3 linked regions of the Nothobranchius furzeri genome follow. The protein of the gene in region 1 purifies or fractionates together with the protein of each later gene. This does not show direct contact. Links are inferred from orthologs where the notes say so. Each region holds a gene or a part of one and is shown on either strand. Other genes may lie near its edges. The genes, in order: slc30a5, slc30a6 and csgalnact2.

What was found.
Region 2: the proteins of slc30a5 (region 1) and slc30a6 purify together in Homo sapiens (co-immunoprecipitation; 5 studies listed by BioGRID and IntAct, with this or other methods). This does not show direct contact. The link is inferred for Nothobranchius furzeri from reciprocal best matches to the Homo sapiens genes SLC30A5 and SLC30A6.
Region 3: the proteins of slc30a5 (region 1) and csgalnact2 purify together in Homo sapiens (co-immunoprecipitation; 3 studies listed by BioGRID and IntAct, counting the BioPlex papers as one, with this or other methods). This does not show direct contact. The link is inferred for Nothobranchius furzeri from reciprocal best matches to the Homo sapiens genes SLC30A5 and CSGALNACT2.

What each region holds. Positions count from the first base shown.
Region 1 is NC_091746.1:73,786,224-73,796,863, reverse strand, and holds the start of slc30a5 (proton-coupled zinc antiporter SLC30A5), read right to left. Parts: upstream 6,159-10,640; 5' UTR 5,939-6,158; coding exon 5,868-5,938; intron 5,060-5,867; coding exon 4,937-5,059; intron 4,864-4,936; coding exon 4,797-4,863; intron 4,365-4,796; coding exon 4,279-4,364; intron 4,138-4,278; coding exon 4,050-4,137; intron 2,048-4,049; coding exon 1,954-2,047; intron 1,874-1,953; coding exon 1,797-1,873; intron 1,732-1,796; coding exon 1,561-1,731; intron 1-1,560. Other genes in the region: annexin A1, read right to left, coding at 8,392-8,448, 8,537-8,659. UniProt on the Homo sapiens protein: Together with SLC30A6 forms a functional proton-coupled zinc ion antiporter mediating zinc entry into the lumen of organelles along the secretory pathway.
Region 2 is NC_091752.1:45,299,356-45,309,476, reverse strand, and holds part of slc30a6 (zinc transporter 6), read right to left. Parts: intron 4,303-10,121; coding exon 4,260-4,302; intron 4,004-4,259; coding exon 3,938-4,003; intron 1-3,937. UniProt on the Homo sapiens protein: Has probably no intrinsic transporter activity but together with SLC30A5 forms a functional zinc ion:proton antiporter heterodimer, mediating zinc entry into the lumen of organelles along the secretory pathway.
Region 3 is NC_091752.1:5,680,941-5,691,594, forward strand, and holds csgalnact2 (chondroitin sulfate N-acetylgalactosaminyltransferase 2), read right to left. Parts: upstream 7,118-10,654; 5' UTR 6,983-7,117; intron 5,298-6,982; exon of another isoform or gene 5,136-5,297; intron 5,015-5,135; 5' UTR 4,869-5,014; coding exon 4,217-4,868; intron 4,155-4,216; coding exon 3,938-4,154; intron 3,815-3,937; coding exon 3,713-3,814; intron 3,643-3,712; coding exon 3,464-3,642; intron 3,383-3,463; coding exon 3,288-3,382; intron 1,520-3,287; coding exon 1,438-1,519; intron 1,351-1,437; coding exon 1,058-1,350; 3' UTR 851-1,057; downstream 1-850. UniProt on the Homo sapiens protein: Transfers 1,4-N-acetylgalactosamine (GalNAc) from UDP-GalNAc to the non-reducing end of glucuronic acid (GlcUA). Required for addition of the first GalNAc to the core tetrasaccharide linker and for elongation of chondroitin chains.

The sequences.
Region 1 (10,640 bases):
TTTGGCTGTCACACTTCTGTAATGTCCGTTTAAAGTAAGTAGTTACTTAATCTTTTTAATCGACCTTCGCAGCATAATTTATAAACTTTAATAAAATTATGAAAACAACATTTTAACTTCAGCCAAAGGCTCTTTTATGACCTCAACAGGGAAAACGGCTAAAATAAACATGTTAATGTGACATGTATTTAAATGACGCTTCTAGATTTTACAGTACATCGGTGGTGAAATTAAAAAATGTAAGTTTTGCTTCTTTTACATGAGGGGCGGGAATCTTCAGGAACATCAAGATTCCATTCGATTACGATTGAGGGAGCTCCGATTATCGATGCGTCTTTCTCCGCCCTCACCTGGTTGCCAAGTGATTACTTAAGAAAAACATATGTAATTATGAATCATTAATTTAATTCCAATATCTTTTATTAACATAAGTATCAGTGCAATGTTTTAAAGAAAAGTGCTGCTGTCATTAACAGCTTCCAAACAACATGATGCTGGATGTCCAATTCATTTGAACATGAATAACTGTTCTTTTTCCAGAAATAAATACGATTAGACAACAACATTTGAGTATAAATTAGGGATGCGCTGATACCGATACTGGTATCGGTACAGATACCGATGCGATACTGGTATCGGTAAAAGTGAACCGATACCAATGCAGTTGCTTGAAAATGGCTTCACTGTAACTTGTCATTTCTGTTCACCTAATATTTTAGTGTTGTGATGATTTCCATTCATATATTTTACTTTTTATCTACCTCACAGTCTTTTCCTGTTGAAAGCAGAGAAGAAAATCTGTATTCCAAATCATTGCCTTATTTGTGTGGTAGAAGTATCGGTATTGGTTATCTGCGAATATTCAGATCCAAGTATCTGTATCATATCGGTTTGGAAAAAAGTGGTATTGTTGCATCCGAAGTATAAATACCCTCGACAAGAACTTGTATAAATAAATGCGTAAAACAGGAAAGAAATAAAGCGTACGGACGCAGACCTTTTGCGATAAAACTTGCTATGGGCTTTGTAATTCAGTTCGCCTGATCAGAGTTTGGTGGAAATTTTAACGACGCCTGCTCCGTAGATCTCTGGTTGGTGGCGGCAGCCGCAGCTACGGCATCTTTTTCTCCTCCTTCGGGTGAAAACGATCAGCGTGGTTTCTCGTGTTGGTTTTATTTTACACAACTTGAACACCGTATGGCTTTGGTCCGGGTCCCGTTTCCCCTCAAATATCATGAAAACCAAAGTCATTCCACACGCTTGCTTTTAATGTTGGCGGTGCTGGCCGTGTTCCTCAGTCGGCCATGTTGTCCTGTGCAAACTGTAACCGTTCCGTCCAAGCACCAGACTTCCTTTTAGCCGAGTTCCACTTTTAGCGCCTCGTCATAAATAAAATTGATTTTTTACTTTTTTAAATCGATTGATAATCGTTCCTGTTCGCATCTCGATGCAACTAAAAATCGAGTTTATCTCCCATCCCTATTTTACATCAAAGATGGCACCTAGGGTTTGGAATGGAGGCGTAACGTCTCCTTTTATCCGTCGGACCGGTTTACTCACCTCTGTGGTCGCTGACAACACCACGACCCACGGCAGCAGAACCGCAGCAGAAACCAGGTTGTCCAGGGCGTAGAGCCGCTTGCAGCCTCCGATCTCCACGGACAGTTTACGGGACGCCGTGTGGAAGGCTACCTTCAGACACACCGACGCCACCAAAAGCACAACGCCGCCCTGACAACAGATACACGGATCAGAAGGAAGTCCTCGCTACCAAAACCCAAAGCTGCTTTCCGTACTTTGTGATCTGCGACTCCTAAAAATGAGATGGTGGTGTAGAGGAAGTGTGTGAGCGTGCTGTCGTGATGTCCCTCAGCTGATAGCAAGATCAGTCAAGGCTCGAACGGTGCAGAACAGAACCACAGGGATTAAAACACGGCGTGGAACCAAGGATACGGTGATGGTGGTCTCCCATCTTCACCATCAGGTCATCGTTATCAAACAGCAGGAGGCAGATCACGGCGATGATGAAGAAGGCCGCCCCCCTGGTCTGGCAGAAGAACACGGGGAACATTATTTCAAACCTGTTAGAGGAGCAGGAGAGGCTTTCCAAGAGGAGTTCTGCCGTTTATCTGTCAGCTATATTAGCAGCGGAGGGTGTTCACTGCTTCCAGGGTGGTGTACTCTCTTATCCACAAATCAGAGCTCTTGTATCTGAGGAAGGTGTGGTTTCTGAGGTTTGTTGGTAAAACCTCAACATGTCAAATTCCGTCTGGTCAGTAAATCATAACGTAGGATTTAATAAAACTAGAACCACTTCCCGAGCTGATTCGGTTTGAGCAGAGCTTCGGACCGGCCAACCGGAGCAACACTCGTTGAACCACCGCATCTTTTGACAAGCCGTCAAAGCTGACACAGCAAACGGTTCCTTCAGAACCAAGCCGACACCGCGCCGACTCCTTAAAGGTCCTTCCTTAGACGCAACAGCTAGCTGTGGTGACCTGGAGGCAACTCGAGACCGGTCTAGTGGCGCTGCCGTTTCTCCTACGGACTTCGGTACTTTTGGGGTCCACGGACTTCCTGACATTCCGGATCTACAACGGCGTCTCCGACAGGGTACGTAGGCGCGACAGATTGCGTCTGATGCTGTTTTATAAACCATCACTTCCAGTTCACAGCAGACCAAACTCAATCCCACTCAGAACTCAGTTTCTTCCAGATACGACATCACATTACACTACAACACACACTCCAACTCACATAACCGTTTCCTAGTTGTCAGGTTTTATAATTTGTTTAGAAAATAAATTTCTTACTTTTTATGAACTTGACTGTCTGAATTAATAGGAAGTGTGTCACGGTCCCTGAATAAAAAAACAATCGGACCGGAAAAGGGTGGCTTGCCACCTCCGGGTCGGGGGAGAGGTCCTACCTCAAGTGGAGGAGTTTAAGTATCTCGGGGTCTTGTTCACGAGTGAGGGTAGGAGGGATCGGGAGATCGACAGGCGGATTGGTTCGGCGTCTGCAGTGATGCGGACGCTGAGCCGATCTGTTGTGGTGAAGAGGGAGCTGAGCTGGAAAGCCAGGCTCTCGATTTACCGGTCGATCTACGTCCCAATCCTCACCTATGGTCATGAGCTTTGGGTAATGACCGAAAGAACGAGATCACGGATACAAGCGGCCGAAATGAGTTTCCTCCGTAGGGTGGCCGGGCTCAGCCTTAGAGATAGGGTGAGGAGCTCGGACATTCGGGAGGGACTCGGAGTAGAACCGCTGCTCCTCCGGATCGAAAGGAGCCAGTTGAGGTGGTTTGGACATCTGGTCAGGATGCCTCCTGGACGCCTCCCTGGGGAGGTGTTTCGGGCAGGTCCTGCCGGCAGGAGGCCCCCGGGTCGACCCAGGACACGTTGGAGAGGTTACATCTCCAATCTGGTCCGGGAACGCCTTGGGGTCCTGCCGGAGGAGCTGGTGGAGGTGGCCGGGGAGAGGACGGTCTGGAGCTCCCTAGTTGGGATGCTGCCCCCACGACCCGGACCCGGAAAAGCGGAGGAAGACGGTGACGACAACGATATGGAATCATCAAATCTTATTCATCATAATTAAAATACATACGTAGAATAACACTACAGCAATAGTCCCAGTCCTCCCTGCTGGATCTCTGGTTTAGGCACCAGTGGAGTCTCTCTCCTAAACTCTGAGTGGAGACAGGGTCCAGAGAACTCCTGACCGCAGTACGAGGCTCCGTGGTTGTTATGCAGGCGTGTTACGTTCGGGTTTAAGGCAGAAAAGGGGGTCAGCAACAGGTCAAAGGTAACATTTAAGAACGTTTTTTATGATTTTCTGTCAGGATCCATTAAGTCTGGTGGATTTTATCATTTCAAAACTTCCAAACGTAGCTTGATGGAACCGATTTTCCAGGAACATCTACCCGACCTTTTAAACTTCTCTGAACCTTAAACGTTTCTGGAATGTTTGGGCTTATTTTAATTTATCTTAAGCAGATTGATGAGTAAAAGAGTATCAGGACTGGCCAAAGTTTGGGAGGTTTTTACCTTAGATGGTCCTCCTCCCGAGTTTGTGAAAAGAACGCCAAGGAGGGCGACGATGACCACGTCGCTGTGCTCGAAGAGCAGCAGCGTCCTAAAAAACAGGATTTTAAAAACAAAACACTGGAAGTTTCCTTCTGTAGCGCTGACGTAAATAAAATAAACCCAATTAAACTCAAGAGTTTAGAGGGATCCAAATGTTTACGTGACTGTAATAAAAACGATCAGGTTCTACCTTAAAGGTCCACAGAGAGTCAGACCGAAGAATCCCAGCAGGGAGATGATGCAGCTGAAAACGGCATGTTTCACTAATTTAATCCACTGGAAAGAAAAACAGATGAAAACAGTTTATTACGTCACAACAAGCTCTTAAACATAAACAAATGTTTGTTTTAACCTTGTGAAGAGCCGATGAAACGCGTTTAACTCCCGGAGAAGCTTCGCTTTTACAAGAGGCCGAGTTTTTCACATGTTTAACGTTTATGTTGAAGGAAGAGGGTGTACTTGATCTGGGGTTTCTTGACCCTTTGAAGGACTAAATAAATAAATTAAGGGTTTATGTGGAAGTTTTCCAGAAAGACTCCGATTTTAGAAGGTTTTCTTTTTTTTGACGACAAACTAAAGCTGATTTAAGCAGCAAATGGAGAAAAAAAACACCTTTTTCTCCTGATTACTGAATTAAAAACTGGAACCCAACCAGGACTGTTTTGTTCCACCGGATGAAACGAGAACTGAGAAGGGAACCAGACTGACCTGGCTCCTTGAGATGACTTTTCCAGATGAAAAGGGCTTTTGGAAAAACAGCAGAACAACAGCGCTCCTAAAAATCAAAACAAGAGTCAGCATGTCGTCCGCCTGCGTCCGACCCTGAAACAGAGAGCTGAAGTACTCACCCCAACTTCAATATGAAGATGAACTGAACTATATGAACAACTTTTAGGATATCATAAGATTCAAAGATCCCTAAAGCTTTGAGGACCTTAGAGATGATCAGCAGAACGATGTACCTGCTCAACCTGCGGACGGAAGACAACAGAAAACATCATTAGTGACACACAGAATTATGTAAAGTTAAATGAGGACAGAAACTGATTTGTGGCCCACAGAAAATGTATTTTACACCCCTGCCAGGTGATTTGACAGCATCTTATAACATTAGCTAATGCTATTACATAATGATGTAAGTAGGAAGACCTAAGTCCACCCTTCATGCTTCGATAACAGCTGCTGATCAGATGTATTCTTTATAAAATTAGGGGTTGTTGTGAGTCTGGAGCATACAGGTGTGTGTTAACGAAGGAAAAACATCCCAGAGCAGGTTCCCTCTGTGGTAGATAATAAAAGAGCTCCTGCTGGTATGACAAAGGGACAACTAGAAGAAAACTGAACAAATGTGGCGTGTACAGAAGGGGCTTATTGCAGCCACCTGGAGCTGAGATCTCATTTCTTTAGTTATGGTCCAGATCACGTGACCTTAGAGGGGGTAGAAGCAAAGCAGATGACATGATCTTCCTCTGAAGGAGGAGCAGACACGTCCTTTGAGACGGGGTGAAGCGCTCCATCCTTGTCGTAGAGCCTCTCCTCCTCATAGAAAGAACTCAGCTGAGATTGTAGAGAAATCTGACATTCAAGCCTTCAGGATACAATGAGCTGGAGGTATTCCACACATGTCCCACTGGGAAGAGACCCGAGGACCACCAGGAGGGGTATCATGTGTTCTGGGAACGCCTTGGGTTACCCAAGGAGGAGCGGGAGAGGATGCCTGGGTTTCCCTCCTTAAACCGATACTTCTGTGCTTTAAACAGCTATAAAGACATGTTTTACCTTGAATCAGGCACTTCGACCATTCCCAGTCTTCCACCCGACAGGACGTTGCTGCTGTATTTATCCTCCATCTCAAAGCTCGCAAAACCGACCAGTGACAGCAAAGTTATCCTCTTCAAATCCTTCACAATTCAGTCAACAATAAAAGTAACGACACAAATCCTCCTCCGTTTACCGCTGAAGTAAACAAGGCCTTAGTTTTCTGTTTGTTCTTCATTCTGCCGGCTAGCTCAAGCTGCTTTTGGCATCACGTGCTCCGTCTTCGTTCTGACTCAGATTCCCATTTAAGAGCGTTTTAGAAACACAAAATAATACTTTTTTCGTCTAAAACAAACAAAAGAATTAATCGGAAAGCTCTAAAATGAGAAGGAAAAATATCCTGATTGTCCCTAAAGCCATGAAACTTCCGTATACGTCAAGCTTTGCACCTCACGCGAGAAAATCCGAGAACGTGTCTGCTGCGCATGGCGGCTGCGCAGATCTGTTAGGTGACTGAAGGGGGAGTCGGTTAGATGTAATTTCTGTAACTCGACCGTATGAAAATGGTCTAACTCACATCTTTGCTTTAATATATTATCATGTGGACTTCTAAACGTGTTACATAACTAAATAACACGTGCAACAGCTACAAGAACATTTCATCTGAAGGAACTGCATACTGTTTATTTTGATCAATCAAGTGTTATAAACTCGTCATGTCCTGTGTGCAGGTCGCAGGGTTTATAGTGTTTTCTGCCACTATTGCCTTATGTGTTGTTAACGTTTGATAAGAAAGGGGCTTGTGGGCATGAAAGTTTAGTTCGTCACTGATACGATCTACAAAAAATAAAAACACCCTTGAGATTCACGTTTTATCATGTTTTCCCCAAAGCTGATCCAACGGCATCAGAAAATGAAACACCCATACAGGCGGATCAGAGCATTTTTCTGGTTTTAAAGCAAAATCATTTAGTGAATTTAAAGGGAAATAATGTTTTCAGATTAAACTGAACCTTGCTTTAAATTTTCATTGTTATTTCTACTGATGATCTAACGTAGCCTGGCAAGCCAGACTAAATAAATGTATTATTTAGTCTGGCCACGCTCCATTGACGGCTCTCGGTTGTGGGGCGGGTTCTACCGTTGTCTTTCAAATGATCTCCGCATTCCACTGGACAATGAATGTGACATACTCTTGTTTCACTCTGTTGCATCATCCCACCCACCAGGCATATAGAGTGCCCTGATTGGCCCACAAAGCGGATGAAGCTCTGTGATTTGTTCACTAGGCAGATAGAGCACTATGATTGGCCCACCATTATGGACCAATCACAGCTCTTTATGTGTTTGAAACCCCTCTAGAGAGCTGTGATTGGCTAGCCAGAGTCCTGGTAGGAGCTGCTGAGGTTTCAATGGAGCATGCCTAGACCATTCTTTGCAAAGCAAGAATTTGGTCTAGTTCACTAGGCTAGATCTAACGCCTTTGTGTGGAGGAACGGGTCCTCCCGACTGTGGTTTGTGCTTATGCACCAAACTGCAGCTCAGACTACCCACCCTTTTTGGAGTCCTTGGAGGTCCTGGAGAGCGCTCCTTCCGGTGACTCCCTCTTTCTGCTGGGGGACTTTAACGCTCACGTGGGCAACGACAGTGAGACCTGGAGAGGTGTGGTTGGGAGGATTGGCCCCCCAATCTGATTATGAGCAGTGTTTTGTTACTGGACTTCTGTGCACATCATGGATTGTCCATGACACCATCTTCCAGCTTAACGGTGTCCATGTGTGCTCTTGGCACCAGGATACCTTAAGCCACAGTTTGATGATTTACTTTGTTGTCGTTTCATCTCATCTGTGGCTGCATGTGTTGGACACTCGGGTGGAGAGGGGTGGAGCTGTCAACTGACCACTACCTGGTGGTGAGTCGGCTTTGATGATGGGGGTGGGGGGGGGCGGACCTAAACTTGTGAGGGTCTGCTGGGAACGTCTGGTGGAGTCTCTTGTGAGAAGGAGCTTTAAGGGAAGCCTGGGACATCGAGTCACTGGCCCATGTTCAGTGCTTCCATTTTCCAGGTGCTTGGCACCGGCGGTTAGGGATGCTGTCAAGCTGAAGAAAGAGTCAGGTCTTATTGGCCTGTGGGACTCCAGAGGTAGCTGATGGGTACCGGCAGTCCAAATGGAATGTGGCTCGGGTGGAGACCCAAGGGAATACCCAGGACACTCTGGAGGGACTGTTTCTGTCAGCTGGCCAGGGAATACCTTGGGATTCCCTGGAGGAGCTGGCCCAATTTGAGGTAACTGCTTCCGCGACCTGACTCCAGATAAGCAAATGAAAATTGATTGATGGATTTAACCTTTAATGTGCTTTTAACTCTATCTGTCGTGTGTTTTTAGCATGGTTTTATTCTGTTATGCCGTGTTCAGCATTCTGGGCGTCCTTGTCAAACAGAGCTACATTCATAAAGCTGATCATGATGGAAAGAAGGAAGGCTGGGATACGTTTGCTTTATTAGAAGACAGAAAAATGGTGTCAGGGTGAGCCGTCTCCAGTTTCACTGAGCTCCACACAACCCAAGCAGGACTTTCTGGTACTCTCCCTTAGTGTCAGCCTAGAAAACAAAAAAAGGAAAAAACTTATATTTGTATTAATTCATACTAAAAGCCAGAATGGAAACACTATAACAGTTATATTTCTACCACTATGTCGTCCTGTAGGCTTCTCCCAAACATGGCTTGGTATTCCTCCACTATCTTCTTCAGGTCGACCTCAGAGCGGCTCACCAGAATCCTGATCAGTGTTCTGTCTCGGGTACCAACACCCTGTTGGAACAAAGCAGGGTTTCAGTTGTAGAAGTCATGAAATGCTACGATTACCTAGTCATTCTCACAATATTAAACAGACCTCTCTATATATCTATATTTATTGTAAGAGCCATAATATTTGTTGGGCGAGTTGATTACTGGGTTTCCGTTCTCTTTTTCTATGCATATATTTTACAAGTGAGAATGGAAAAGGTGCAAAAGTCCAAAAAAGCTAGCTTTTAAACAACTCTCGCTCCTCCCGTCGGCAAACATCCCCAGGCCATGCCCGCCTTTTAGGAACTCTGGTAGTTTGTCCTTAAGTTGAAGTGGTAGCAGCCAGCTGGTTACAGCAGAACTAGATGGGCTCCGAAGAAGTGAGAGGGCGCGTACCCTGACAGAAAGGGGGAGAGCATACCAAGATGAGAGACTGAAGCACATTCAACGCAGATACAAAATCATCTAAGTGGAGGTGTCATGCACGAATAGGCAAAGAGTTATTAAGTGGTGATTCTTCTAAGGATGAGTTAACTGAGCTTATTGAGAAAATCAAAGGCACCTGTTCTGATGTAAAAGTAGTTTATGAGGAGCTGCGTCAAGTTCAAACCCCTGAACCAGACCTGCGGCGCAGGGTTGATACATGCATGTCATTCTCAGAATGTATCATTCAAAGAGCAGAAAGACAGCTTAAAGGTCATGAAGCAGATAAAGATGAAGAGTCTTGGCCTGACGTTGGATCCGTTCTAGGTTCAACAGGTTCTGTTTCTAGACCACTGTCTCATCAATCAGGATGTAGTTCTACCCACTCTTGCAGCCACTCTGTCAAAAGAATAGAGGCTGTAGCTGAAGCTGCTGCAACTCAGGAAGTCTTGGCAGTGTTGGAGGAGCAAGAAAGAAGCAAAGACCTGCCTCATTTGGCATTTCTAAAGATTCCAAGAAGCTACCTTCCATCAAACTTTGGTGAAGTCTCACTATATGAGCTTCACAACTTTTCAGATGCAAGCTTCAAAGGGTATGGTGCATGCTCATACCTTAGATTGGTGAGTGAAACAGGACAAATAAGTTGTTCCCTTGTCTTGGGGAAAGCAAGAGTAGCCCCTACCAAACTAACGACCATCCCAAGACTTGAGTTGTCTTCAGCTGTGACCTCAGTTCGCATTGGTGATATCAGAGGCGAGCTGGAGATTGAGAATTTGCAAGAGTATTACTGGACTGACTCAACGGTGGTCCTTGGCTATGTGAACAATGCTGCTAAAAGGTTCCAAACATTTGTGGCCAACCGCATCCAGCGAATAAGATCTAGAACAACACCTGAACAATAGCGATATGTCAACTCCGAAGTCAACCCAGCTGATGGAGCCTCATGAGGATTGACTGCAGTTCAAATTAAAGAATCCAACTGGCTGAAAGGACCCACTTCCTTTGGCAGCAAAATTTCCCACATGAAGTGGGAATGGTGGGAGAAGTTGAGGCTACTGATCCTGAACTTCGGAAAGTACATGTTCATGCAGTTAAAGCAAGAGAACAGAATCCAGTGGTAAACCGTTTAAATTTTCTGACTGGTCCAGAGTGGTGAGAGCAATTGCCAGGCTCAAGAGATTTGTCAGAGAATTCAAGGGATTTCAGTCGATAACTAATGAGTCAACTAATCTTGAACAAAGAGAAGCAGAGGTCTTCATTTTCAAACTCGTACAAGGAGACGCGTTTGCTGAAGACAAAGAAAATGAGAGGGACAAAGAAAATGAGAGGCAAGAAGGAACACACTTTGAGCAGGCACAACAGGCCCGCCCGCAGCCTCCCACTCCCAAGCCGGCTGAGCCTGGAACCCAGCGACCCGGGACCCAACAGTGCCCAGGGACTCTGATCCCACCAGGCAGCCAGGGTGTGTGTGTGTGTGTGTGTGTGTGTGTGTGTGTGTGTGTGTGTGTGTGTGTTGAACAGAGGACTTAAGTGTGAGACTCGCCTGACTTGGACAGATGTTCCAATCACTTGTTTTGGACTG
Region 2 (10,121 bases), on another chromosome or scaffold:
TAAGGCCTTAATTTTAGAAAATTTCATTTAATGACTTTTAATGCTTTTTAATGCCCCGCATAAACCCTGTAATATTAACATGTTTCTTATCTGTGTGATTCCTAAATAAGTCATGATTTTGGGCTGATCAAAGAAAGAAATTAAATATTTTTTAACATTTTATGTGAACACATTTTAAAGCTAAACAATTTCCAGCTGCTCCATCCTGCTGTTTGAAAGTGGAATTACAACCGTCAACCCTAAACCTGCAGCAACCTGCTGTAGCTAGCGCCAACAACAAGCTAACGCTAACATGAGCCTGGTTGTACTGAACAAGCCAGTAAAAATATCCACACTGTTGGTCGAAAATATTCTTACTTACAAGTCCAGTAGCAACAAAGCCAGGTCGCCATCAGTCTGTGATTGTATAGTCGCCTTGAGCTCCCGTCAATGTTCACTCAGGTTTTAGTAAGTAAGTAAGTAAGTTTATTTATAGAGCGCCTTTCACAGATAAAAATCACAAAGCGCTGTACAACATGATAAAGATCAGAGCAAATACCTCTAATCAATAAAAACATCAGAAAAACAATAGCAGTGATAAAGTAGAAAATAAAATCATGAGTATAAACAAAGTGAAGGTGTGAACAAGAACAAAACCATCTTTTAGAAACATTAATGGAGGGAACGCCTGGATGAAAAGGTGAGTTTTTAGATGATTTTTAAAGACCTCTACAGTGTTAGAGAGACGGAGATTTGAAGGTAGACTGTTCCAAAGTCTGGGTGCAATAGTCTGAAAGGCCCTGTCCCCTTTGGTTTTCAGTCTGGTTCGAGGAACAGCCAAGAGGTTTTCAGATGTGGATCTAAGGTTCCGAGAGGTGGTGTGTGGGGATAAAAGCTCAGATAGGTAGCTTGGAGCCTGGTTGTTAAGAGCCCTATAGGTCAGGACTAAAACTTTAAACTGTATTCTATATTCTACCGGGAGCCAGTGGAGGGACTGTAAAACTGGAGTGATGTGAGCTTGTCTGCTGGATTTGGTTAGGAGTCTGGCTGCTGCATTTTGGGTGGCTTGATGGCGTGAGAGGGAGGTTCTAGGTAGGACGATCTAGGAAGGTAGAAGATGGTGACGAGGAATTAATGAACTGACGTGGGGGCGGTGAACAGCTGAGCGGATCTTCGGGAAGTCCCGCTGTCATGCCAAGAAGAGTCGAGCTGCAGATTCACGGGTCTCCAGGCCTGAAGCCATAAGCAGTCCTCACATCTTCCTCATTCCTCACTGGCCATGATGAGCTTGGTGTAAACATCCGCTCCTTTAGCTACCGATCAGCTGATGACAGCTTCAACACACCGCGCTGCTGAATTATAGTAACACGCATTTTCCTATCGGTAACAAAAACGGAGTTATGACAAAAGAAGACAGTACTTAATTAGATTACTTGTGACTGAAAAAACTAACTTCTGTTAGTAACGCTGTTATTCCCATCAAAGCGTGAAAGTAAATTGATTTTGATGCTGTGACAATGAAACACAAGTCATTGCCTTTGTGCTGAAGATGTGATAACGATGTTGCTGGTTCTGTTAGAATACCCGTTTCATTTCCACCCAACACTTAAGCAGTGAATATTTCAGATTTAAAACACTCAAACTTTTGAAAAAAAAAAATTAAGACTTAGTGGAACCTAGATCAGATAAAATAGGGAAAATCAATGTTTAAAAATGACTAAAACATCTCAAAGTTTGCCTGAAATGAGTTTGGCGTGAACGGAGCCTCAGAGTCTGACTGATCTGGGCGAAGGAGGTCAGGTCGTGAGAGGAAACCTCTAGTCTTTTGTTGAGTGTTACAGTGGGAGCATGTCTCCGTGCTAAACAGACTGATTAAAGAGACCAACCGATGATCTGACAAGCAGACACCCTGCAGGTTTACAGGTTTTACTCACAGTGTAGCGTGGACACACTCACAGATGACTGTGACAAAGTGCTCATTGTTCAGTCAGTCTGCCTGCATGCTGCGAGGTCAGAGGTCGCGATCTGCTCTGCCTGAGGTTAATCCATACAGACACCACATAAAACAACCTGCAGTCTGCTCCTATTGGACTCACTGTGAATGTAGTGATTATTCCAGCAGACAGGAGTCACATGGGCAGAGGAAGGTGACTTCACCTGCATCATAATGTTGTTGTTGTTCCTCCTTTAGAATTAACACATCCACAGTAGAGCTGAACGAGTCTAGGAAGTTATTTACTTCATGATTTTCTTCAAATCAGGTACATTGTTCATGATGTACAGCAATATTTACAAACATGACAGGAAATGACATCATACCATGGAAACATTAAAGCCATTAATCCAATAATAAGAAGGATGAAAAGTAAAAGCTCTCTAATGTTCTAAAGAACAAGAAACAAGCATGCAGAGTTTTACCAAGGAGGGACCTCTGGGGTGTTTTCATCACAAAAACACAGCTAGAACTACAAACATGGACACGCTATACAAACTTATTTTGGTTTGATACCTCTGAAAGTTTTTTATTGTTTTTGAAAGGAAAGAAGTCGTGCTGAGTCAGTAAAATGTTATTACATTATAATCCCCTACTGCTGTTGCAGGAAACCAGCAAATCAGCCTCTTTGTCCCTCCCCCTCACACATGAGCCCCCTAACCAGCATCACAGCCCAGCCGCTGCCGCAGCCATGACACTTTCAGGTCAGCCGGTATATAAACGTTTTAGCAGCACATTGATTGTGACACTCACTGTGTGTAATAGAAATTAAATAAGTCAATAAATCTCAATATTTATTGATCTTCAAATATAAAACAAAGTCAACAATAAATAAACAGTGTGTTGGGGTCCTTCAGGTCCTTTCTTCAGCCTAGTAGTTTAGTTTAGTTTTATTTGTCATATGCAAGTTAGCACAGGGTCAACATTGCAATGAAATGTGTTTGACGAGCAGCGGTCTCTCAGCAGCATAATACAACAGAAAAAAGAAGAAGGTATAATACAGTAAAAGCAAAATATAACAGAGTCATGTTAAAAGTAAAAGCTTACTAAATAGATAAGTAAGTATAGATGACTAAATATAAATATATCTAAAAAAAAGTGAGTAGTAACATTAAAATGAAGTAACCAGTGCAGATTAAATTTTACTTGTGGAGCTGCAGGGTAACATCTGTATCCTGTGTTGTGTGTGTTTAAGTGTGTGTTTAAGTGTAATGGTTGAGGTGTCGTATGGCTTGGTGGTAGAAACTGTTTTTAAGTTTCGTAGTCCAAGCAGGCAGACTCCTGTAGTAGTGGTGGCAGTTGGCCATATAGGTGCCAGATATTTTATTTTTTCCCATCGGCTTTTAAAAATAATTATGGCCGATGGTCGATATAGAAAAAAAAAAAAAAATATATATATATATATATATATATATATATATATATATATATATATATATATATATATATATATATATATATATATATATCGGTTAGTCTCTACTCTAAAACCACATTTTAGGGTGCTCCACATTGTGTGGACCAGCAAAATGTCCCCACAATGTGGAAATGTCCACACAGCAAAAGCTAAAGACAAAATGGGTCCACTCAAACACATAAAGAAAAGTGCGCGCGCGCGCGCACACACACACACACACACACACACACACACACACACACACACAAATGCATGTGAGACTCAAGTAAAGCTGAAAAGCAGATTTCCACTCGATCGCCATCCAAATCTCAGAGTCAGAGGTCACCTCTCAGATTGAAATGAGAGCTCAACCCTGTTACCGACAATGAACACACTCAGAAAGTGTGTGCCAGGATGTATTTTTGGGATAATCATTTACAAAGCATGACATTTACAGTTCTGATGACTGACGTAATGCTGGTAGTTAGTGGGTAACCCTACCTCTCTACAGGCAACATAGCGGTAGCAGGTAAGGAAAAAACTTACTTAGGAAATGAGAGTGAACTCACCCAAACGAGTACACCTGACTGGGTTTCTTCATGGTGACCCAGGAGCTGATGAGACAGGTGATCAGACTGCAGGTGAAGGACGAAGATAGAAGAAAGACGGACAAAGGGAAGGGTGATGGCAGGGAAAGAGGAGGAGGAGTGATTGATGGAGGGATGGAAGGAGACAGGCAAGAGACGAGCAAATAAGAAGAGTCAGTGAACGACAAGTGGCAGAGGAAAGAGTGGAAACAGCACAGAGGTCAACTAAAGTTCAGAGTTCATGATACTGGAAAACACTGGGCTATCTGAAAACAAAACTGAACAAGGGTGGAACTAAACTCACCTGAAGAGGTCGAAGATGGTGAGATATGTGTAGGCAGTTAAAGCTGAAACGAAACAGACACAAACCAAAGTCAACAGAAAAGTAACACATGCTAGAAGCTTGTGTTGTTTTCTGGAGGAACATCTTTATTTACAAGCAATGTAAAAATGTTTAGCAAAAAAAAGGTGTGATTATTTTAAAGGTCAATGATGTTTTTCTCATTAAGCAGAGTCTTATCTGAATCATGTCAGAAGCCAGTCTACACATTTCAATTTTGTGTGTTTAAAACTGATTCTAGCCATTCAGCCTACAGTTTCTACAATAGAATAGACTTTATTGATCCCACAGTGGGGGGATGATGTTCAGTGGGGGAGCTTAAACTGCCTTTAAAGTTTATTCCTTGGCAGGGGTGAAGTGATGCACCTCTCAAAAAATAAAATAAAATATATACACCAGAGATCCATCTGACCCCAAGGTTGGTTTATGCTTGACGCGTCCGCGAGGTCCGCATGGCTCCGCGCAGCGAAATTGCATCATTTTAACAACCACGCCCCTCCACCGCGCCTCCGCACGGCCCAAACTTTCCGCAACGCGCACCTAGGAAATTTTCTAACCACGCGGACGGTCAGACGAGGAAAAACATGGCGGACCGGCAAGAACTAGTATGGCAGAGGTTCGTAAATACAGACATTTGTATGATTCAGCTCTCAGAGATCACCGTGATCAACATGTTGTTAATAATTCTTGGAGAGAAATAGCTCGCACTGTCTGAAAAGACGAGGACGCTGTTAAAAATGCTGGAATGCCATGTTGTAAACAACAGTAATTTCTACTTCTACTATGGTGTAGTGTTGGATGCATGCTGTAGAGCTCCATGCTGCCCCGTTCAGTTTGGGAGAATATTGGCTCACCGCAGAGACAAGCCGCACGAACCATAAACGCTGCGAGTTGTGAGGCGCGTTCCATCCGCGAGCCGCATCACCAAGCGGAAAGTGAATGTGTCAAGCATAAACCAAGCTTAACAATGTGGGAGGGTTAAGCCTAGGGCACACTGGGGCCAGACGCACCACACTGTCATTTTAAATAGAAGCAATTATAGTCCCGCGTCCCAGAAGCGCCGCGGTGCTGAAGATAGGCGCCAGTTCTAGTGCCGCGGCTGCTTACAACATTGTGGAGTACTTTACAACAGACGTTATAACGCAGAGCAGCTTTAAGACACAAACTCAGCCGCAGTTTTGATAACTTTAGAGTACTATTCATCTTAAAATATTCTAATAAATAGCATGCTTACTCATTTTTTATGAATTAGAGTCTCAAAACAGGACGGCAAGTCTGACCACGTATAAACAATTGAGTAACTTCCCGCTTCCTGTTCTCAAGTCTCACAAGATGTTGTGACTATCGCACAACTTTCCAAGAAGCGCTCTGCGGCGTGGCCTGAGTGACCACTTGACTTCTGAAAACCACGGCGTGTCTGTCTCCGGGGTGACCCAGGCTTTAAAAGAATGATTTGAAGAACAATAAGCAGGTTAATGAGATTGTAACCAATGTTTGCTGAGATCAAGCTACTTGTATCACAAATACTGTTCATCACAGCTGAAACAAATATTTATGTAATTCTATTTAATTGATTATAAATAAAATGTTCCAATTCATTTTTTTTAAATAAGTGCGTTTTCACTTTTGACAAAAGAGAAACCAGAGAAAACACCAAAACAATTTCTAATTGTGGGAATATTATAAACTCAAGCCGATGGACGAGACAGCTAGGTTAGCACAAAGCTAGCGTATCACAACGCTAGCATTATACTAGGCTAGCATAGTGCTAAGCTAGCGTTTCACAACAGCATGACTTCCACAACCCATAATCTCAGCAAAAGGCATCCAGGAGCTTCATGCGTGGGCTTCAGATCCAAGACAAGGTGTGTTTTCTGGAAACATTTCACTGTCATCGCTAAAATCCAACAACCTCATACAAGTTTTAGTTTTCAGTCATCTTTGTTTGGAAAGATGCAGTTTTATCATATCTGAAAGGAACAACAACAGTGATCAAACCTTTGTTTGTTGTTATTGAAATAATGACCAATGTCAGCTGATAAGTTATCCTGCCTGACCACATCATGAGCTAGACATCAATGTAGAAAATATTGGTTGGTCCAGAAAATTACCCTGTGCTCTCATGATGGTGTTATTCTGGTTAGCTAATAGCAACACAAATAGTACACAAATGCTGGCGGGAGTGAAGCAGACGCAACTGAAATAGGATTTGCCAGATGGCCAAAGGAATGGACAACAACATTGGTACATGGCTGATTAGATATGTACTGACTGTTTGATGGTGTTACATGTGTTACTTTGTGGTGACCATGTGATCAAAAGACCGCTTCAGTGGTCTCGTCACTTACGTAAGGTAAGTGTCAAGCCCAAAAAAAAAAAAGTCGGTTTACTATTCATTTGGTTGGGAACGGGCCATGTGGCCTAAAATCAATGTTGTGATATATTTTGAAGTGCATGCGGTAATGATGTTGCTTGAAATAAAGATAATAATGACACAAGTTAGAAAAGCTCAGATGTTAAAACTGACAAGTTGGTGCCATAAAAGTGTCTGTGTGCAGCAACCCCCACAAACAGCTCCCCCCCCCCCCCCCCCCCCCCCCCCCCAGACACAAATAATTCTATTCTAGTGACTGTTGTCATACTTTCTTCACAAAGCTACAGATGAATGGGTGAGGCTTTTTTTGAATCAGTAACAGCTGTCACCGACTTTACTAGAATGCATCCTAGAGATGTTTCTGGCAGGAAATTGAATTTGTCATCAAGTTATTCAGTCAGGAAGCTTTTGCTGAGTCAGCACTTGGAGAACAGCCAGCAGAGCAGGTAAGCTGAAGGTTCAGTAAGTAAACCAATCAGCCAGCCAGCCAACAAGACAACAAATTAATCAGTTCGTTAACTGGCCCAATACTGAGAAAGACCTGGCTTAAATACAGCAAACCCGCCTGTCCATCTGTCTGTCTCCCTCCACTAGCGTCCGTCTTTTTGTTTGTCTGTCGGTCCTAAAGCCTGCCAACCAGCTTTCTGTAATCAGGCTGTGCTGCGGGGGAAGAGGGGGCAGGATTAGAGCGGCTTTGTGCTGAGAGGAACATTTTGTTTCCCCACTTCCAGAGTCCATGTTGGCCAACCTGACGCCCTGTGATGCTCCTGACAGAGAGGCCCGCAGCAAAGACCCACAAACCAAACAGGAGTAGTGGGTCGACATGAGGAGGAGGACAGATGGATGGATAGAACATCGAGGTAGATAGATGTACGCAGAGAAAGGTGAGGAGGCAGGAGGCAGGATGATGGACATGTGGATGGACAGAAGGACAGAGGAAAAGTGAAAGAGGGACAAGGAGGGTGAGAATAGCGTTGGCAGACTGAAACGGAAAATATCCAGGAAAAAGAATCCCCTCACAGACATCAGTAAGAGAAACCTGTTGGATGGTTAGTTTTCCACCATTCCTCACCAGCATGTAGCAACAAGAAGAGAAAGGTGTGCACCATAGGCTCACTCACGGATGATAGAAGACCGTAGAGGTCACAAACTTGACTCTTCCGTGTAGCTCCAACAGGACTTTATTTGGTCTCCAAGTCCTCCCAAAGTTGTCCCGCGTTTGTCCACATTCAGAATGTCAGACGCTAAACTGAGACGTGTCCCCGACACCTGCGACCACTCTGATTGTTGTCAGACAACATTGGTCTCAACTGTTTAGAAGTGATTTAACAAAAGAGCACACCACACACCAAAACATATGCCTGATGTTTGCAGACCTTTTAAAAAATCCCAAAAGAACGTGGTTTGTATTGTGCATTAAAACCTCAGTGACAAACTGGTTTTTGCTGTATTTCACGTTTAAGTTTATTTGAAAAAGCGGAAAAAGGAACTGATCCACATGATACCAAGACTGATTTCTGGGTCCTGTGCACCTCTGACCCACCCATACGATTTGCTAATGTGTGAAATATTTCACAATAAATATATGTTTGCAGACGAAAACTAAACAAAAGTAAACAATATATATCTTGGTTGAAGACTATAACGATGATAAAATTGACAAATAAAAAATAGACAATCATGTAAATCCAATCAGAAGCAGGGCAATTAACTGGTGTGGCCGTAAACCCACCACTGACTGTTTGCTCTGATGTTTCATTTCCACAAGTAACACCAGCCTGGAGAAGTTCTGCTGTGTGGTGAAGTTGCTAATGCTAACAGTTAGCTTCTACTAGCAGAAATGTTCTCTGCTGTTTCCTGGACACTAAACCAACAACAGCCTTCCCAGTCGAGAGTAAAGATGGGTGAGTCCATGATTGTTAAGTGACAGTGACATAGATCTGTCAGGATTTTCTAATCCTAGAATCTCACAGTCTATTTTCTATCAGAAGCTACTGCAGAAGACAGGTGTAGGAGACTATTTTCATGTTCAGCCTGCATGAAAAACTGCAAGAGTGAGCGGAAACAAAAAAGAAAAACAAGCAAAAAACAATTTCTCAGTGAACTTGGTCTTTAAATTAAAACATTTTTAGAGATGTAGCATAAAATCAGCTGGAATCAACAAGCAGAGTGGTGGTGGTCACCTATCACCTGTTGGATAAGGTAACTCTGAAGCTAACAGGACATTAGCAGGTGTTCAGCCATTTGTTATGTTGGATTGTAGACGTTAGACAATTTTATTGGAGGATACTAACTGGATGCTTGATGGATATAAAAAAATTAATAATAACATTTTTGTTTGAGCACCAGGCTCCAAAACAAAATCAGTGCATTTTTAAATATGAAGGATACATTTTCAAGGTTTTACCAGCAAATATATTGTTCTAACTTTCCTCAACAGCTGGATTGTTTTACAGCTTTTGATTGTTCTAAGTCTGTTCCTTTTGCTGCATCTGCGTGTTATTTTGATATGTTGGGGCTCATTACTGCACAGGGATCAATGAGAGTTGATGTCATTGTGTTGTGTTGAATTAAAGGCTGCAGACAATAAAAGCAATAATAATACAAACGCTGACATCACAGTGACCCTGAAACCGGCCCGAGCCAATCAATAGATGAGCTGAAATTTCCCCTCGCTGTGCTTGGATAGGTTTACATGTACACTGACACACACACACACACACACACACACACACACAACCCAGTTCAGTTTCTTCATATGTATCCAGCTTACAAACACTGACACCCAGAGGACGAGTCGATGTGACACCGAAGCAACAACCGGAAAAACATCATTCATCTACAACTCACACCCTAAAAATAACACCAGAAAGAAAACTCACACTTTACCACACACACTAACGCACACGCACATGCACACACACACACAGACGCACACATGCATGGCCTGAGCCCAACACACCGAACAGAAATCAGAATTTAAAACTCTAATCACCAAAATGAAAAGTTTTGAAGCTCCTTTCATCAGGACCATTTTCTGTTTCATCAGCATCATTTTGTCCTTTTCCAACTATTTCTTCCAAATTTTACTTCCTGAGAATAAACAATAAAAGATGGATTCAAGGAAGGAAGGAAGGAAGGAAAGAAAGAAAGAAAGAAAGAAAGAAAGAAAGAAAGAAAGAAAGAAAGAAAGAAAGAAAGAAAGAAAGAAAGAAAGAAAGAAAGAAAGAAAGAAAGAAAGAAAGAAAAAGAAAGAAAGAAAGAAAGAAAGAAAGAAAGAAAGAAAGAAAGAAAGAAAGAAAGAAAGAAAGAAAGAAAGAAAGAAAGAAAGAAAGAAAGAAAGAAAGAAAGAAAGAAAGAAAGAAAGAAAGAAAGAAAGAAAGAAAGAAAGAAAGAAAGAAAGAAAGAAAGAAAGAAAGGAAGGAAGGAAGGAAGGAAGGAAGGAAGGAAGG
Region 3 (10,654 bases), on another chromosome or scaffold:
ATTTTGTAGCTAAAACATAGAACCTGTCAAGTTTATAAAAGTTATCAGCAGATCAAAGGTTACTGGAACTAACAGCATAGGAAGAGTCTCTTTATTTATGGCCAGAATGTCATAATAAATCATCTCCTTGCTTGTTTTTCTGAGCCAGCTTTGATTTCTGCATATTGCTGAGAGGAAGACGTGTTTTTTGCCAGTAGAGCTGGCGGACCTCAACACACTGTACAAAAGCGGGAGAATTCGCAAATAAAACAGATTGTACACAACAGTGATGCCGTATTTGTCAGAAAACAAGTCACCTTTTAACGTCCTAGTCAACATGTCACTTTAGAGACTTCAACGTAACGCAAGAAGCATTATTTACTATTTACAAGTGTGACTGGAACACCGGCTTTCAGGAGAATACTTCTGAGGGCGATGCTCTCTGGGCATAGGTGTTATTAGCTATGTTAGCACTGCATGCTATAAGCTGACCGTTGCTTCAGCTTTCTAAACTATTTCAACATTTTTCCTGTTAAACTCACAAAGTCATGAAACGGAATAAAAATGACCTAATGACGTCACAAAAACCGCACAAGTCTCCCTTTATAAAAATCACTTGACGGAACAAAACACGTCCCAAGAAAACCTCCAGTTTCACGCAAACGAAAGACCCATCAGTGGACAAACTGCTACTTCTCTTCATTCTTCCACTCGATAAATACCTCGGCTAGAATTTGAAAAGCCCGTCCCGACACTGACACCCTTCTGGAAGTGAACATCCTCCCAAACAGCTGAGATTCTGGCATCAAGTTCACATTTTTAACCGTTGAAGAAACCAGCACCGGTGTTCCCACGGTTAAAACCTGCATGCTTTAAGGAACAAGACTGGTTTCTTTCATTTCTAAATCTTCCTTCAATTTAAACAGCTAACTGGATCATGTCTGCAGCAAAAATTGGTTCTAACAAAGTTTCACGTTCCTCATTTTCGTACATTCACTCGTCTACAGCTGTGCAGCAAAACGCAGCGGGATCCGTGCAAACATGTTCTCACGGTGGCGCCTTCACGCCAGCAGCTGCCTCAGTCCTCGGTTTTGCTCTGAGTCTTGAAGGCCTGCTTGCGGAGATGAGTCTCGATCTCCTCTCGGAAAACCAGCATTCCCAGGTGAGAGTGGGAGGCCTCGTTCATGGCTTTGGACTGGATGCACATGCGGTACTGCTCCGGCGTCAGCTCGTCCGCACATCGCTTCTCGTGCCACAGGTGGAACAGACTGGACACCGGAGTCCGGGTCACGATCAGGTCGCTCCGGAGATACTTCCTGTACAAGTGGACGTCTTCCACACCCCAACCTTTGACCTCCAGATCAAACCCCCCTGCAGAAAATGGGGGGGGGGGGGGGGGGAATCTAATTTCCTGAAAATGTTGATGTAGAAGAAAACTTCAGTAAATTAAATTCTTACCAATATTCAGGAAATCTGAGCGATACTGACACGTCATCCCAAATCCAAAGTCTCTCCAAAATCCAGCATCTTTTTTGTGAATCTTCAAAAGAAAATATATATAAATCAGACACAAAAATCTGAATTATTTATCCAGCAACAATCAGGTCTCTACATGAAAACCTGAGGGGTTTTCCTGGATGATTCCTGTTGATGAGTTTTCTGTTCAGGAAATGGGTGAATCTTTAAGTCTGTTACCATGGCAACACTGAAAAATCCCTGGGTTTCTACTCATCCCTTCCTACATGGGTGACCATTTTTTAAAACGATCTGACTGACAAAAGCAAAATTAATTTTGAGATTGTTGAACCTCCTTTGGATTGTTGGTTTGTTGTTTATTAGTTTTATTTTATTTAAAATATGAAACTATCAAAAAAGTTTTTTTGCCGTTCTCAAAACTGTTGGCCAGTGGCGCAACTATGAGGTGGCTAGGGGGGCCATGGCCACTCCTGGAAAGTAGTTCAACCCCCCCCCCCCCTTGATGAATCACATTCAAAATAATAAAAACTATACATTAATCTTTAATCAAGACATGAATGTTAAAACCAATGAATGTATTTTATTGATTTGATAAATAAAATTGAAAATTTGTTTGTAGCCGAGGCTAAAAAAAGTATTAATCCCAGTAATTTCCAGAATTTGATTAAACTGATCTTTTCCTAAGGTTGTTGCATTTTTCCCACACAAAGTTCAACAAAACAATGTTGATTAAGGTGTGAGTGTGAGAGAGAGATAAAATATTTTTTTAAAAACCCGACCGGAGCGGAGGCAGTGACCGACTCAGCACGAGCCGTTTTCAGCTCTGTCTTGTCAAATGCACCACGTACGTTACGAAAAAAGTAACTTTAAATATTAAATCGAAAAAGAGGCGAGCTGAAGAAAACCTAGGGAGTTCTGAAGAAACGTGAGCAACTGTGTGTGTGGGCCGAACTGAGCTCCCTCTTTCGCTCGTTGGCTTCTTCGATACGGTCTTCCCAAGGGACTGCTGCAGAGTTTTGTGTGTAGAGAAGGGCGGGCGCTCTATGTGACTGGCCAATCACAGAGCGTGAAAGCAGTCAGTTACCCAATGAGGATTTTTCTTCAGAACAATTACAGATATTTACGAGTTTTACTCGTTTCATGCTAGTATTCGTCAAAAATGCTTTATGCGTACCGGATAGGCTCATCCCTAGCTGTAACCACCCTGCCCTGCCTCCTCCTCCTTGCTGCCTGCCGGCTGTGATCACAAGCAACAACAGAGTGGTTCCCGCTGCTTCTTCGGGAAACAGCGCAAATTTTTTTTCTTTTTTTTTTTTAAATCCATAAAACGGGATCTTGTAGGCATGACGCCAGGATTTCAGCCGTGGCGGGCCGCCACGGCTACGCCTATGTCAGAGAAACACTGCATTTCTTTTTGATCTGAAACGTTTGTATTTCTCAGCTTAAAGATGAGGGTTAGGGTGGACGCGTAAGACTTGTTTTTTTTATTGAAAATGAACGAAGGAACAATGCAATGAACAGCTACAGGCTAAACTTTCAGATTTACCACAGGGACCCATTTGGTGTGCCACCCCAAAATGTTTACTGGCCCCCCCATTAAATTTTTCGGGCGCACCACTGCATGTTCAACCAACCATACTTAGAACCTTGTGTCTGATATTCATGAGTATCTTCATTAATTGCTAACAGTTGTGAAACATACCAACGCAATTATAAACAGGAGTGTTGCTATTTACGGTTTTCAGTGTAGAAACAGCAGGTGAAGCTGGAAGTTGGGCTCACATTCATGTGAAGCGGCCCTGGTTGGGTCACAAGAACGTTTCATTTCTTACCAACTGGAGTTCAATAGGCGGAGCCAGCTCCAAACTTCCATAAACGATGGCAGGATTATACAGGCTGAACACCACCGGGTAAAATACTTTCTTGTCTGCAAAACAAAGTCAAGCAAAATGATGTGAAAACAACGACGTTACCAAAACGAGAGAAAAACAATCGGATCCATGCCTACTTGGTGCAGTGTGCAGACGACAGGTGTTAAGGAAGTCCAACGTAAAGCGAATATCTACGTCACAGAAAAACATCAGCACGTCGCCTTTGTTCCACGTGTGGGCTCCGATATCCAAGCCTCGACCTCGGGAGAACTCCTCGTCCACCGGGATGAGGGTGTAATTGGAGAAACTCTCCTCCCTGTGGAACAACACACCTCGTGTCTATGGATTATAAACGTCTAAATGTGAGAGGAGCACCAAGAACCGACCTCGACATTTTGTCCAAAGATGATCGGACCTCCTGCAGACCTTCGTGGCCAAAATAAACCACCGTGAGATGAACCTGTCTGTCCTGTTGCACGCACACCTCTCTGAAAAGCAGGTCATTTCAAAATGGCACACTAATAAAAACCAGACTGATGTAAAACCTGAAAGGCAGCAGAACAACGTGATGGGTCATGTCTCCCCAACAGAAATTAGTGATTCAGCCTCACCTGAAGTTGTGCAAGAACTGTGAGAAAGTTTCAACTCTGCCCGCCAGAGGCACAATGATGTTGATGGTCATTCCTGAAGTTTCCACGGATGTGCTCCTGACTTTCATGACGGGACCGAACGGCCGGAAGAGCGTGACGTGGCGGAAACTGCTGGAATCCTCCTTGGAGAAAAACAGCTCGTAAAGCGTCCCTTTATCTCGCTCCGTCCTGTACAATCCTGAGGAACAGAAAAACGACGGAGTGAAGCACAGGCGACGCAGGAGATGCTGCAGGTCTTACCTTCTGTGAAGTGACCGTCTGTGTAGGTCTTCCTCTGCATGGCCATGTCCTCCTCCACACCATCCTCCTCATCAGGGTTGTTGATGATGTCCAGCGCAGCCTCAATGACCTCCACCAGCTCATCCCTGCGGTCTTTGCGGACCGGCTTCTCCTCCGGGTGCCGCGTCAGTCCCATCTCCAGCTGGTAGACCTTAGACGAGGTGAAACTCTCAAAGGGCACCAGAGCGTACTCGCTTGGCAGGCGTGCTCCCGTGTTGACCTCAGCCTTGTCGATCTGAGAGTGCAGGTACTCCAGCAGGTCTCCTGGCTCTTGGTCTTTGTTCTCCCCCAGACCCTGCACCCCCGGAGGCTCCTTCTTCTCCTGCATCAGCTTCAGCTTCTCACTCATCTCCTGGAGCTCCTGCTTGAGCTGGGCAATCTGCCGCTTGAGGCTGGAAGCACGGCTAAGGTGGCGCTCCTCATGTTCCTGCAGCAGAGCCTGGTAGTACTCCTTCCCGTAGGTCTCCCCCGCTAAGCCAGGCAGGACCAGGCTGACGTCTGCAGGTGGAGTGCACTCCAGCAGGTACATGAAGAGCAGCAACACCAGCAGCAGGAGGAGGCCCAGGAAGAGCCAGCGAACCCGGCCTTGGAACAGTAACCCCCGCCTGGGCATCACGTCCACATAAAACCTAAACCCAGCAAGGATGTCTGCATTCCCCGTTTCCTCTGCTTACATCACTCACTAAATGTTCCCACATAGCTTTTCAGCAACATCAAAATGCATAAATCTGGTTTCTTGTGTTCAAACGTTGGTTCTACCTGTGGAAAATACAGAAAATATTAATATATATGAGACAAAAAAATAAACCTGCAAGAGCTTTCAGACAAAAAAAAAAAAAAAAAACAGGAAGAGAGCAATATTTTATATCATGATGCAAACCTTTAGTTTGAAGTCAGCCTGCCTGCCAATTTCATTATGATTTCCTCAAAAACCTTTCAAAGAATCTCCAGCTTCCAGAAAAAAAATCTCGATTTGAAGGTTTAGTCCAGAAAAGCAGAGAACAGGAGGGGTTAGCTGCACCTGGAGAGCTAGCAGCACCCCCAAACAACGGCTCAGGAGAAAACCCCGGTGGTTCCACCAGCGAGTTTACACAAACTACACTTCCGGTTCACCTGGCTCCTCTTCAAAATAAAACACCCGCAAAGTGGTGAAAGAAAGAAAAAGATCTTTTAAATAGCGCCTGTCAAGATAAAATCACGAGGCGCTTCACGAAAACAAAATGTAAAAACTACTCGATTAAAATATGTTCAAAATGAGAAGAAATAGAACTTGTGATTAAATAAATGTAAGGAAAGGGAAATCAGTGGATCCCGGGAATGGTGGAATAAGAACAGGATAAGGAGCGGGTGGTGATGATGGTCACAACAAAGCCTGAACAGGTGAGTCGTCAGCTGCTTTTTAAGGGAGACCACTGAGTCCACTGATCTCAGGCTCAGGGGGAGAGATCCAGAGTCTGGGGGCCACAGCAGCAGATGATCCGTCACCTTTGGCCTTTAGCCTGGTGCTGCACAACCAGAGGGTGGGTGAGACAAGAGGTTCACCATAGATATTGGGTGTTACAACATATTTATTTATTGGTCATTTTCTTGTTTTTAACAAATTGTTTTTGTTGAACTAAAAAACTAAGTTGTGATTCAATATAGATTAGGTATAATTTTCTGTCATCACTTATGTTGTGAATTGGTGTTATATCAATTATTTGGCTTGAAATAAACAGTATATTTGTGTGCAAAGCCTTTTCAAATTTTCATATTTTTCTACCAGTAACCAAACACGAACATAACCATTTAAAACACTTAATAGTCTATTTGTTAATTTTAAAAGTAAAAAAAAAATGTTTTTCAATTTGTTTTAAAATAGAAATGATTCCCCCATACTCTGTAAAAAAAAAGTATCTAATAGTGATTCAAAAACAACTGGTTTATAAAACCTTGGACGAGAGGTGAAGCAGCTAAACGTGTCAGATGTGATGAGAGGTAAAGAGTTTCAGCAAGAATGAGATAAAAGGTGTGTGTAAACGACAGCCTGAGACCAGCCATGCGATAAGCTCTGGAGACACTGTCCATGAGGAAGGGGCAGGAGGCAGATGTGGAGGTTGCAAAGTTCAAGATGTTCAGGACCTCTTTGAGAGTAACAAGGACAAATAGGATCAGGAATGAGTCCATCAGATGGACAGCGCATGTTAGATGTTTAGGAGATAAAGTCAAGAGAGGCCAGACTGAGATGGTTAGGACATTTCCAAAAAGAGACGATGATTCAGGTCGAATGCCGAGGTTGGAGCCACCAGTCAGGAGGATGAGAGGAAGAACAAAAACGAGATTCATGGATGTGGTGAGAAAGGACAAAACAATTATTTGGAGGGTGGAGGACAAAACCCAACTCTGATGGAGCAGGTAGAAGTTTTCACCCTTGTAAAAAAAATTAAATCAAGGAAAATAGATGTATATTAAACTTTACAAACATTTGACAGACCCCAAAAGAAAGTCTTACAAAAACGGTTTGAATTCCTAATTAATCTCAGAAAATATTTTACACATTTAAACTGCTCACAAAAAGACACGATAAAACGTCTACATTTATTTTGAAAAAAGCTACACCGGATGTGGCCCCGACGCTTCTGCAGCTACTTTAGCAGCGTTTCAGGGCTTCGCGGCGATGCGTTCTGTTGTTTTGTGCCGACAAACGGCTCATTTCGCAGCAGTAGTGATGATTAAAGCGTTACCCACCTTGTTATGTCGGTGTCCATTTGTTCTCGCGGCCACAGCTCCGGCTGCGGTTTAGCGGAAGCACAGCGACGCCGGACAACTCCTGATAAACGCCACGGAGCACAGAGAAAAGAGTAGGTGTTTGCCTACTTCCGGTCAGCGAGGAACCAATCAGATTTCTAATCTGTCCTGTGACGCAAACAAACACGCCGCCTCTCCTGATTCATAATAAAAGAAAGAAAGAAAGAAAGAAAGAAAGAAAGAAAATGATCTTTTATATAGCGCCTCTCAAGAAAAAAATCAAGAGGTGCTTCACAAAAACAATTTAAAATATAATTTTTTTCAAATGATTAAAAATGTGTTTTGAACATAGGTTTTAAATGACAAAAGAAAATAAAAATTTGTAAGAAAATGTAAGTAAAGGGAGAGAGAGAAAGAATAGGAAAGAGGGAAATCAGTGGATGGGGGGAAAGGCGGGATAAGAGCAGAACAAGGAGAGGGTGGTGAAGGTCACACCAAAGCCTGAACAGGTGAGTCTTCAGCTGCTTTTAAAGGAGTCCACTGATCTCAGGCTCAGGGGGAGAGAGGTCCAGAGTCTGGGGGCCACAGCAGCAGATGATCTGTCACCTTTGACCTTTAGCCTGGTGCTGCACAACCAGTAGGCTTTGATCACTGGACCTCAGGGACCTGCTGGGGGTGTAGGGACTAAGAAGATCACCAATGTAAGATGGTGCTTGTCCATGTAAGGCCCTATAGACCAGAACCAGGATCTTGAAATGAACCCTGAAGTTGACTGGCAGCCAGTGAAGCTGGAGGAGAAGTGGGGTGATGTGGGTGTGTTTGGAGGACTTGGTCAGAAGCCGAGCACAGGCGTTCTGAACCACCTGTAGACGGTTCAGGGAGGTTCTGCTCAGACACGTGAAAAGAGAGTTACAGTAGTCTAAGCGTGAGGAGATGAAGGTGTGGAGAACTGTCTCAAGTTCAGAGCGGGACAGAATGGGACTCAGCTTAGCAACGTTCCTGAGATGGAAGAAGGAAGAGCCAACAAGAGAACCACAGCCTTCATTAAAATCTTAGCTTTGTTGTAATTTCAGCAAAAGAAAACCGTATTATTGTTTTTACCACAATATCAAACACATTTATTTTGATTGTATTTGTTTTCACATCATAAATGACGTTATGTAAGCTAAAGTGCAGCATAAACAACCTGGATTTAGTTAAACACATCACGAAGTCATTGCAATATTGTTTCTGCTTTGTGTCATTTTTGTGCTAACTAATGAAATAAAGTTGTTATCTTTGATGGTGCACTGCCTTACGAGTTATAATTGATTTAACACTAAAGAGGGGCGATGCATCACGAGTTTAATGTTCAGATATATCATCTGTTATCGTTACAACTCCAAAAATAAACTAGGAAATGTTCCCACGAGGCTCTGTATTGAATCATTCGTTTGCTCCTTCCTTTGTTATCATTGTCAATCACCAGCGCCAGGAAGATGGTGCAGGGCCGTGCACTTGTATCCTGTGTTTTATTCTTCTAATCAGTTTCTTGTCTTCACTCTTTTCTTATCTGCTATGTTTTGATAACAAATTCCTCACAGCTGCAGTAGAGTCAGCAGTAATTGGACTATGTGGAAAAATGAGCGAGCTTTCATATTACAGGTCAAACAAGAGTTAAATTAAGGCTTATATTCATGTTAAGCATGCTTTATTGAACTAATACTTAATACACAGCAAGGGCAAAAAAAAAAGATCACTCTCTAACATTTGTCTGAGCACCATTAGCCTTGATTACGACTCACATTCGCGGTGGCGTTGTTTCGATGAGCTTCTGCAACGTCACCAGATTTATTTCCACCCACTGTTGCATTAATGCTTTACTGAGATCTTGCATTGATGATGGTTGTCTGACCGCTGCAAAAAAAACCTTCTCACATCCCAAAGATTCTCAATGGGGCTCAGGTCTGGACTGTGGTGGCTGATCCATGTGTGAGAATGATGTCTCATGCTCCCTGAACCACTCTCACTATCTGAGCCCGATGAATCCTGCCATTGTCATCTGGGAATGTGCCCGCGCCATCAGGGAAGATGGAATAACCTGGTCATTCAGGATGTTCAGGTAGTCAGCTGACCTCATTCTTGGTGCACATCCTGTTGCTGAACCTAGACCTGACCAACTGCAGCGAGCCCAGATCATAGCACTGCCTCCACAGGCGTGTACAGTAGGCACTAGGCATGATGGGTGCATCACTTCATCTGCATCTCTTCTTACCCTCTGGGCTGGAACAGGGTCCACCTGGACTCAGACCAGTTTTAACGAAGCGTTGGACAGTTCTTGACCCAGTTTTAATCGTTTCTGCACCTCCTTAGATGTTTTCTCTGCTTGATGCATGCTACTGATCTGACCCTTCTCACACAAACAGCTTTTCCACAACCACCAGATGTGACTTTCCACATGGCTGGTTAAGAAATGAGAAGCAACTCATTGCACCAGTGGGGTTAAATACCATGATAATTGCTCATGCAGTAATTATCCTATAGGAGGCTTAGTTAAATCCAGGTGGAGACATTTTTTTGGCCAGACAGTGTACCATTCCATTCTATTTTAGACATCAGATATCATAAATGATTTGCTCCCTCAACAATGCTTCTGTTATTTTTTTTTTCTACGCTTTATTGTTTCAGCTCTGCTAGCCCAAAAACAAACAAAAAATGAAAACAGACTCACATTTTCCCAAAAACCATCTTGTCGATCCAAAGCCTTTTGGGGAAATATTCCTTGGACTGTTGAGACAAAACTTTGTGTAGGAAAACAGCATCAAACCAACAGCTGGGCATGGTGGTGGAAGTGTGATAATCTGGGGCTACTTTAAAGGAAGTAAACACCTTTTCACAGCACTGTAGTCATGATGACCGTTATTTATTTATGTAGAAATGACTAAAAATGTGAGAGCACAGAAGAAAATAGACCCTTCTGTGACACAAACTATATGAAATACTGAACAAATTACCGTGAACAAACTCTTTTTCATTTTTATTAATAACAAAAATCAAATAACATAACAGCAATACCACTCATTGGTGTACATGATCTTTACAGCTTATGGAAACATGAACTGTAGTCCGACAGCGGAGGTATCACACCCTCCCAGTGGAATAACAAGATGATATTATTAAAATCGGGGAAAAAAAAGGAAGAGTTCATCAAATATTTCTTTTCTTTGGCAGCTTTTAAACATGTAGCGGAAGATTGACAAAAAAGCAGGTCTTGGAGGTTTTTGAGGAGAACAATCCTGTAAGGTAGAGACTTCAGGTCCTCAGACCCAGCTCAGTGCTTCTCACTCCCACTACCGATGGTACAGACGTCCCCTTGGATTCCTGGGCTGGGACACGGATTTTCAACGCCACACACACACACACGGTCAGTTGGAGGCTTTGTAGAAGCAGCACAGGCACTTTCAAGACATTGACACTGACATACAATCTGGTACAATAGTCATGCAGTGATACAGTTCAGCCAACATGACCTAAGGGTAATAATTAACATCTAAAAGAAGCTTGGCCCACGTTCATCCAGATGATTCTGCAGCTAAAAGAAGCCTGTTTTAAAAAGCACCCGTGCAACAGAAATAAAAGGGGAACCAACTTCACCATCAGATTATGTACAGGCGTCTAGAAATACATCTACCA